Linked DNA regions of Caenorhabditis elegans. The protein of the gene in region 2 purifies or fractionates together with the protein of the main gene of each other region. This does not show direct contact. Each region holds a gene or a part of one and is shown on either strand. Other genes may lie near its edges.

Evidence for each region.
Region 1: the proteins of nhr-198 (region 2) and Y43F8C.3 fractionate together in Caenorhabditis elegans (co-fractionation; one large-scale study listed by BioGRID). This does not show direct contact.

Annotation. Positions count from the first base shown.
Region 1 is NC_003283.11:19,619,335-19,624,305, forward strand, and holds the start of Y43F8C.3 (BTB domain-containing protein), read right to left. Parts: upstream 3,293-4,971; 5' UTR 3,013-3,292; coding exon 2,912-3,012; intron 1,615-2,911; coding exon 1,401-1,614; intron 63-1,400; coding exon 1-62.
Region 2 is NC_003283.11:15,692,216-15,696,873, reverse strand, and holds nhr-198 (Nuclear receptor domain-containing protein), read right to left. Parts: upstream 2,881-4,658; coding exon 2,776-2,880; intron 2,416-2,775; coding exon 1,713-2,415; intron 986-1,712; coding exon 657-985; downstream 1-656. Other genes in the region: srx-29 (7TM GPCR serpentine receptor class x (Srx) domain-containing protein), read left to right, coding at 11-89.

The DNA.
Region 1 (4,971 bases), 3.9 Mb from region 2:
TTTTCTGGCTTTTTCTCAGAGTCATTTAGCAATTTGAGCTCTACGACAAACGTCATCTTTTCCTGCAAAAAAAAAATTTTTTGGATTTTTTTTTGGAATTTTTTTTATACTGTTTAGGTAGGGTAAGGTTTTTTTAAACTTTCAGTCATTTTTCCATTAAAAATTCGAACTCCACGTAAAATTTGCAAAGTTTTGACACCCATATTGACTACATTCTGAAACATTGAAAATTTGGGCCGATTTGGGCCGAATTAAGCCGAATTAGGCCGATTCAGGCCGAAAATTCCCTCACGGTGTCTAGCAATGGTAGCTAACCAGTCACTGATTATTCAAAATATTAAAGCCCGAAAGTATTGCAAAACTTGATTTTCGGCCTAATTCAGGCCTATTTCGGCTTATTTCGGCCCAAAACCCAAATTCATCGGAATATAGTCAATATGGGTGTCAAAACTTTGCAAATTTTACGGAGAATTCAAATATTTTAACTACAAATCGATAACTCTAAAAATAAAAAAGTTGGATAATTGGCTCAGTGGCTAACAGCTATGGTTTTGGCCTAGAGGTCGGTGGTTCGAGCCCGGATAGGGTTACAAAATTTTTTCTGAGTGTATATAACACACTTTTCACATTGGAAAGTTAAAACTATGGAGTTTTCAGAATTTTAGGATGAAAAATCTGAAGTATTTGGAAGAAGGCTTCAAGCTCCTGTAACTTCAAAGCTTTTAGGTTTAGCAAAAATTTTCCAACTAACAATTTGTAGCTCAAAACTTCCTCTACATAATGGTTATATTTTTAAATTTTGAAATCACCGTAAATGTTCTATAAGTCTATTACAGTCCCCCCCAACACTTCCATTTTCCCCTTTCGCTTGGAGACGGCCGAATCGATGTTTTTGTCGGGTTTTGGAAGCGAGGAGAGAGCGCACATGACATTTACACACACACATACGCCTAGACATGAGTATTTTTCGGTTTTCTGCGTCTCTTCGTCTTATACACTGTCTCGGCGCTCATGAGATGCGCGCACAAGCTTTTCTAAGCTTTTGGGGGCAGAGAATAGGAAGAGGGAAACGTCGTATATCTATGCAAGTTGAGGAGGTAGAAGGAAATTGTCAACTGAAAAGTTGTAGAGCTTGATGAGCTGGTTATTATGGTAGTTGACAAAATTTTTATATTTCTGATACTGAAGGAGTTACAGACGTTTGAAGTTGGTGGTCCTAGGTACTAGGTACAAATTTTGATTTTCAACTTCAACATGGTATATCTCAATAATGGTACATGCTACAAAAAAGTTATCAACAAACAAAATGTACCTTACATCTTTCTCTACAAGTTCATAGTTGACAATTTTCCCGTATCTCTATCCATCTCTCAGCTGGAGCCTTAGTTCGAGCCCCTTACCTTCTGTTCGGCAATCTTCAACAGGCAAGGATTGACCAATACGGTGTGAGCTCCTCCAAATGTGTACTCCTGCTCCCAGTCAACGACTGGCGGCTCGACCTGATGTGTGCATTTTATTTGCAGCCGAGACACTTGGTTTGGAGTGAGTGCTGCCACGTGGAGAGAGTAGTAGCTGTGATTCTCGCCTTGCTTGCACAGTTTCAGACGGATCGCCCTGAAAATTCAATTTTCAGGTATTGGCACTAAAAAATTTAGATTCTACGTAAAATTTCCGATAATAAGTCCCCCATATCGGCTATAATCTGAAAAGTTGAGATTTTGGGCCGGAATAGGCCAAAATGGGCCGAAACGGGTCCGAGTTTTTCATCAATTTTAAATAGGCTATTATGAATTTAACATTTACTTTATTTTTGTGCTAAACTGCTCTTGAATCGGCAATAATTGGGTATGGCCTAGATTTGGCCTAATTCGGCCTAGATACGGCCTGAAAATCCATTTTACCAGAAACTAGTCAATATGGGTGTCATATTTTCTCAAATTTCCAGGACAATTCAAAAAAGTTAGTCTCGGGCTGAAAAACTTCAAAATAACGGAGTTATGCAAGTGGCTCAGTGGCTAAGACGGATGGCTATGAATCTAGGGGTCGTAGGTTCGACCCCCCGCTAGGCTCAAAAATTTTTTACAGTCTTCAATTGGCTTATGAAAATAGATAAAAGACCTGAAAACTACAAATCCCGATTTAAACGGCCTGTTGGCCAGAGCCCCCTAATTTTTAGACCCTAACTTTCAAAACGCCGTAACTCAAAAACCAAGTGTCCTAGAAAAAAGTTGTCAACGTACAAAATATAGCTGAAAACTAGCTCTACAATTCTTTAGTTGACAATTTTTAATATCACTGATAGTCATTAAGATACACTCTAGCACACCCCCCTCCCCCTTTTCGCGCACCATTGCCCTCCGCAGTCATTGATTTTGTAGGCTCCGATATTGAAAGAGCCGTAACTCTAAATCCACTGCACCTAGAAATAAATTTTCAACTAACAGAATGTAGCTGCAAACTAGCTCTACAAGTTTACTGTTGGCAATTTTTTGATATTTCCTATAGGCGTTGAGATATACCCTATGCTACACCCCCCCCCCCCCTTTTGCGCGCCATTGATTTTCCCGACCCTAGACTTCAAAACGCTGTAACTCTAAAACCAAGCGTCCTACAAAAAAGTTGTCAACTACAACAATGTAGCTTAAAACTAGCTCTATAATTTCTCAGTTGACAATTTTTTGATTCCGCTATTAATCTTTGAGATATACCCTATACTACCTCCCCCTTTGCGCACCATTGATTTTCCCGACCCTAGACTTCAAAACGCTGTAACTCTAAAACCAAACGTAATACAAAAAAGTTGTCAACTACAAAAATGTAGCTGAAAACTAGTTCTACAATTCCTCAGTTAACAATTTTTTGATTGCTCTGATAATTTCCGAGATATACCTATATATACCCCCTAGCTTACCACTCAGTCTTGCCGAGCTTCATCACCGCCTCCTTCTTGACCTGCCATTCGGTTTCTCCGTCGAGCTTGTACTTTACAGGGATCTCCTCTTCATCATCCATGATTGGCGAGCCGATTGCCGAGCCAAGCTCCTCCGGGGGGATTGCCGAGTTTCCGCAAAATAAAGGCGAATATGCCAACTACTAATAACAGACCTTTCTAGTGTGTCAGCTGAGAGGGTATGCAGAGGGGCGCTGGTGAGTGTGTCTCTATGGATGGGGCAAAAGAGATAGGCGGACAACACAGCTGGGAGGGAGTGCCGGAGACGGAGAGACATCAGAGATGCCGAAGCGGCCAGAGAAAGCGAGGCCCGGCTGATCGACTCGCCCTCCCCGCCCCACCCGAACCCCTCACCACCCAAACAATTCCCCGCAACTTCTCCGTCTCTTTTACCGCACTACGACGGCCAATGTGTTCTTTTTTGCGCGCTCAACACACACTCACAAACTCACTCACTCACGCACACTCACAGACACATGAGGCCCGTCTCTCTCACTCGTCTCCGACCAGCAGTCCACCACCGCTTGGCCAATATACATTGAGGGTTTAGATTGTGTCGAATGCTAAAAATTGACTAAAAATTGAGAAAAAACGGTGAAAAATGGGCTTGGCTGCAAAAAGTTGCAAAATTGAATTTTGCACAAGTGGCTCAGTAGGTTACAGGAATGGATTTGGATCGGAGGGTATCGGGTTCGAGCCCCGCTGTGGACGATAATTTTTGCAGAGGCAACTCACTAAGATTTACTTACTTGCAACTTTGCCATACGCCAACAACGATTTTCAGCTAAAATTTTGTCAATTTTAGCCCAGCCTGTTGAATTTTCGTGTGAACCGACAAACTGTAAAGTTAAAAAAATTGCATCTAAAATCAACAAGTTGAAGTTTAGAGCCGAAAAAAAATCAAAATTGGAATTTTTCACGAATGGCGCAGTGGGTAACACGGATGGTTACCACCCAGAAGGTCACAGGTTCGACCCCCCGTTGGGGTCAATTTTTTTTCTTGTTAAATTTGCTAGGATTCATCAATTTAAATGTCATAGAACACAGCTTAACTTTTAAATACAGATTTTCAACTCTAATTTGTTAAATATCAGTCTAAAATCCATAGTTTCCTAACTGAAAAAATAAAAATAACATATAAACCTAAAGTTTTAAGGTCAGAGCAAAAAAAAAGTCAAAATCCCAATTTTGCACGAATGGCGCAGTGGGTAACACAGATGACTACCACCCAGAAGGTCACGGGTTCGACCCCCTGCTAGGGTCAATATTTTTCTTTTTCACTCATACCAAACAATTTTAAAGCATAGTCTATTTGTTGGTTACGGTAGATGCCGATTCGTCCAAATAAAACGGGCAATTTACGATTTTGTTGATGATAAGATCGATGAGAGACGCAGAGACGGCGGCTGGCTACTCGCAAATTAGTAGTGACCGATATGCGGGGGAAAACTGATGATATCAGCTGATAAGGACATCCGGACACACAGAGCAGTTTTGGACTCAATTTGGGCCATGTATGGCATAGAGCCAATAGCGGTGACCAATTTTCCCTAATTTTTTGTGAGTTGTAACTTAAAAATTCAGATTCTCCGTGAAATTTGGATAGTTTTAACACCCATATTGGCTAGGTTTGAGCAACTTAAATATTTGGGCCGAAATAGGCTGAAATGAACCGAATTCAGGCCTAATATAGGCATGTTCCAAGTCATGATAGTTTTTAACTGCGTTGTCTTTAGCTTTAGAGTTTAAAAAAAATTTTGACTCTAGCGGGGGGTCGAACCCGTGGCCTTCTGGGTCATAGCCATCCCTGTTACCGACTGCGCCACTTGGTCGAAATTTTATTTTTTATCTTTTATTGCCAGAAGAATTATTTTAGGGCATTTTTCAAAGTTTCTGGCGTCAAAATATTGAAATTTTGGGTCGAACTATCCAAAAAACCGGTAAAATTCGAAAAACCCTTTGACAGATTCAAGATCTTAGTAAAAACTGCAAAATGTTACTTGCACACTTTCAAAAAATAA
Region 2 (4,658 bases):
ACAATTTCAGAGGAATAATTTTGGCGTCTAATGGAGAACTGAGAGCTGCTTTTAAGAAAGGTATCAGCCAATTTATTCATTTCACTTAATTTGTTTTCAATTCAGAATCCACTGCAGTTTTCGTGATTGTTCGGAGGGTGTCGGTTTTGTAATTTTTTTGGTATTCTTCTCCACGAGAAGTTTTTGATGAATTTATCAAAAACTTTTTCGGAAAACACATTTTAATAGAAAATTAATGAATATCTCACCCAGCAATAAGATTTTTTTCACTAGAAGCTATAATTTTTCTGAAATTAATATATAAAAATTCCCTTAAAAATGGGAAATTCTCAAAAAATACAGCAACGTTTCTGAAAAATCAATAAATTTTTAAAAGAAGTTCAATTTCCAATGTAAATATGAATTATCCGAAAAAAAATCATAAATATACAAAACAATTGAATTTTCAAAAAAATCGATAGATTTTCAGAAAACTACATTTTTAAGAAAAGAGGTGATTGTAGAAAGACAAGTGCTAGGCAGGCACGTAGGCAGGCAGGCGGCAGGCAAGCAGGCACGTAGGGAGAAATATTCTTATTTTCGTTTAGATGATTTGTTTCAAAATTACATGTATTAACATATTAATTTTTAAAAATTCCGTGAATACGAGTTATACATTAAAAGATTCCATTTATTTTCTGATTTTGCTTCTGCACCTTCTGAGACGAATTTTCTTTACTATTATTTTTCTCGATGTCCAAACAAGTATCATATACGAGTTGTTTCCCTCTAAAATCTGGTGCAAGACATTGGAAAGTCATGCAAAGGTATTGAAAACCGTCATAAGCCTTGTTGGTGACATTGTACAAGGATAGGAGGTCAGTGAGCCGAGAAGGTGCGGATTTTTGGCATGTTGACTGACAATATTGGAGCAATGCAGAGCAGTAACGCTTTTGATGTCGGGATAGTGTCTCCTTAGCTTTTTCAGATAGCTCATCGGAAATTGCTGAACAATTTTTTTTAGAAAATTGAAATGCGAATTCCAGCCAAAATTGTTTGAAAAAAATATTTTTATTTTCAAAAAATATTTTTAAAAGGAAATTGTAAACGTTAATTTCTCGCCAAATTGTTCTTAAAATTGAGTATGGCAATTGTTCTAAAAGCTAAAGTATTAAATTCAAGGAAATTCAAATTTTTGCGCAAATTAAAAACATTAAAAAAAAACTATCCCGAAATTTGAATTTTAAATTTGAAAAGTTTCGGCGAGAAATAATAAAAATATCGTTTTAAAAAGTTTGGTAAAAATTGCACATTTTAATTTTTGAAACAAATTTTTGTCAGGAAATTAAAATTAAAATTTTTTACAAATTGATGCGAGAAATTCAAACAAAAATCTTGCAAAAAAATATGGCCGGGAAGTCCAAATTTTAATTTTTCAACAAAAATTGGTATTAATTTTTTTTGCATTTTTTTGTCAAATAGTTTCGACTGAAAACTTTTTTAAATGTTCAAAAAATCTTTGGTGCCAAATTAAAATTTCAATTTTTAAACAATTTTTCGCCGAAATTTTAATTTTGATTTTGAAAAGTTTTGTCTTGAACGAAGTTATAACCTTAAAAAATTGGGCAGGAGGTTCAAACTTAAATTTTTCAAAACATATCTTGGCGAAAAAATTTCAACTCAAATCTGTGTTTTAAGCAATTTTTCCTTCATTTTTGCTATGCAGAACTCACCAGGATTGCAAAAGAAAATCAGCGCCAATAGAATGCACTCCTCATTTGTAATATTCAACTCTATAAACTTATAAAGCACCATGCAAGATGTCTGATCCAAAAGCGCCGGAGTCTTTTCGAATATTCTACGAAATATCGGCAGGTAGACATCTTCACCGCTTGGAGTTACCAAATATGCTCTTTTTGCAGTGAAGCATCGCATTGCTTCAGTCATACATCCCATGCGTAGAGCATTGTATTTGAAAAGGATTACTTTGTCATTCAAACTCAACTTATTTATGAACTCGAAATCCATAAAATAGGAAATCCTCGCATGGATCCCCAAGAATGCCCAGTCATGGGAATCGGTGACGGTGTGAGGTGTCCGCTTTTTCATTTTCATCACATTCGAGTTTTTTAGAACATCCACTAAAGAAGGGTCCTCATTTGAGTAGTAGTTGATGAATTTTGTGTAGTTTTTCCCATCTTTTATTGTTAGCTCTTTTAAAAGGAGCTCCAGCTTCTGATCGAGATTATTAAAATTTTGAGCAAGTTGTCCCCGGAATGAGTAAAATGTCATGCCAAAGTTCAGGCATTTTTGAAAACGACAAGCTCGGCATTTCCGTTGAGCAATTGAGCACTGATTGTCCTTCTTGCAGTTGTAGCTCAATTTTTTCTCAGCAGATCTTCGGAAAAACATCTTGCACGCGGAGCAAGTCAATGCCTATAAAAGAAAAATTACCAAAAATATAACGATTCAAATTTTTTAAAATAAAATGTAATTTCTTTAAAAATTATTTTGCTTCCGAAATATAGATTTTTTTCACATTCATTTTCCCAACTTTCCCAGGGTAATATTTTGAAAGTTTAAGAAAAAGTTTTGGTAATTTGTCAAAAATTTAAAAACTTTAACTTTTTGAGCTATTTTCAGAATTTTCAAAACGAAGTTAAAATATAAAATTAATTTTTAAAAATCGGATTTTTTGGTCGTTTATTAAAACTAAAAGTGAGAAAAAATTAATACATTTTATTGTAAAATTTTAATATTGAAATATTTTTTTCCACTAAACTAATTTTAACTCACCCCATAATTCATCCCCAACGCCGATCCAAAACATATCACACACTTTTCTCTTACAAGAACACTTTCCTCGGTCTTGAAATTAGCAATACTTGCGTAGTTAGTCATAATTGAAGCCTGAAAACTCAGAGAGCAAGTGCCAACTCCGGCTCTTTTATATATAGAATTTTGGAGGAGGAAGTGAGGCAGAGATCTTTAACACAATATGTTATGCTTTTGATACTTTGATCACGGGATTTGCAGCAGAAATCACAAATGTAAAGTCGTTTCTTTTAAATACGCATGAAAGTGAAGTGCATTCTTATGCACTGACACATAAGTTCTGATCTATTGATAACTTGGTAAAGATTTATCAGCTGGAGTTGTCTAGTGATCTTCCGATTTTATGCACAAAATTTTTGATTTTTTGAAATGCTCCAATTTTACCGTTGATCATAGAGTTATGGAGACTTTAGGAAATTTTGTTAGAAGAGAATTCCCTAGATATATGTATTATAGAAAAAATACAATCGCACAAAAATAAACAACGACGCAACGACACTCCGCTATTTTTAAGCCCCTCCCACGATTTCATTTGCACTGAAATGTGGCGGCCGCAGTGCAAATGAAATCGTGGGAGGGGCTTAAAAATAGCGGAGTGTCGTTGCGTCGTTGTTTATTTTTGTGCGATCGTATTTTTTCTATAATAGTTTCTTGCAAAACTCACAAAATCCTGAAAAAATGAATTTTGTAATTTTTGAAAAATTGATAGCTTTGAAAATTGCCGGTTGCCGGAAGTTTTCAATAGCACCCCAGTATGATTACTCCAAATTTTTTTATTAGCAAAAAAATTGAAAGAAATCAAAAACAATTGTCATGTGTATGATTAAGTATGATGTGAGTTCTAAAAGGTAAACATATCGTATTATTACACGGTGTCAAAAAAAAAAAACATCCTGCGTCATTCTCTTGAACTTGGATCGGAACATTGAAGCATCATGTTCAAATAGTTTGAATTATCAACCGACTTGTTCACTATTCCAAAAAGTGATAAAAGCTCTGCGAATCGAGTTGGTGCAGATTTCGAATATTCCAGCTGGCAAAAACGAAGCAAAGCAGAGCAGTAGGTTTGTTGATGTGAGGATAAAACGAATTTTGTTTTGTCGCATAGATCACTCGTGCTATAGAGATTAAAATTTCAAAAAATTATAAAATTAGATTTTCAAAAACCAAAACTTACAGGTGTTACAAAACATGAGCAGTGTTAGAAGAAAATACTCTTCTTGTTTGATTTTCAATTCTGTAAACTTGGCGATCACTTGTCCCGACACTTGATTCAGAACAGCTGTAGAACTTCCACAAAGATTATACATTTCAGATGGAAAAATATCAGCATCATTCGGAAATGTTAATTTCGATTTGTTTTTGTTTTATGAGCACATGGCTAGTGCTAAGCATCCAGCTCTCAAAATATTATATTTAAACAGTGTATTTTTGTCAATCTAGGTCTCGAATAAAGTTGAAATCGAGAAAATAGGATATTCGAGTGTAAGACAACATATTTCAGTTTTGTTGAACGTTAATTTTAGTCTCGGATGTCTGGAAAAAAATATATGAGTGCTGTTGAAATTGCAGAATTTTAGCAAACCCTTTTTACAAATTTCATGATAATTTTATCATGTAATATCTCGGACAAGCTCGGATCCTCCAAAGAATAGAAGTTTATAAATTTTAAATAATTTCGAGCGTTTTTAAATTTCAAATCATCCAACAACTTGACAAAGTTATAATCAGACTGATTGCCAATATTAACTATTTGATCATTTGAAGGAGCTAGCTTCATTCCTAAATTCAAGCATTTTTGGAATCGACAGGCTCGGCATTTTGGGTGAGTTTTGAAGTGGATA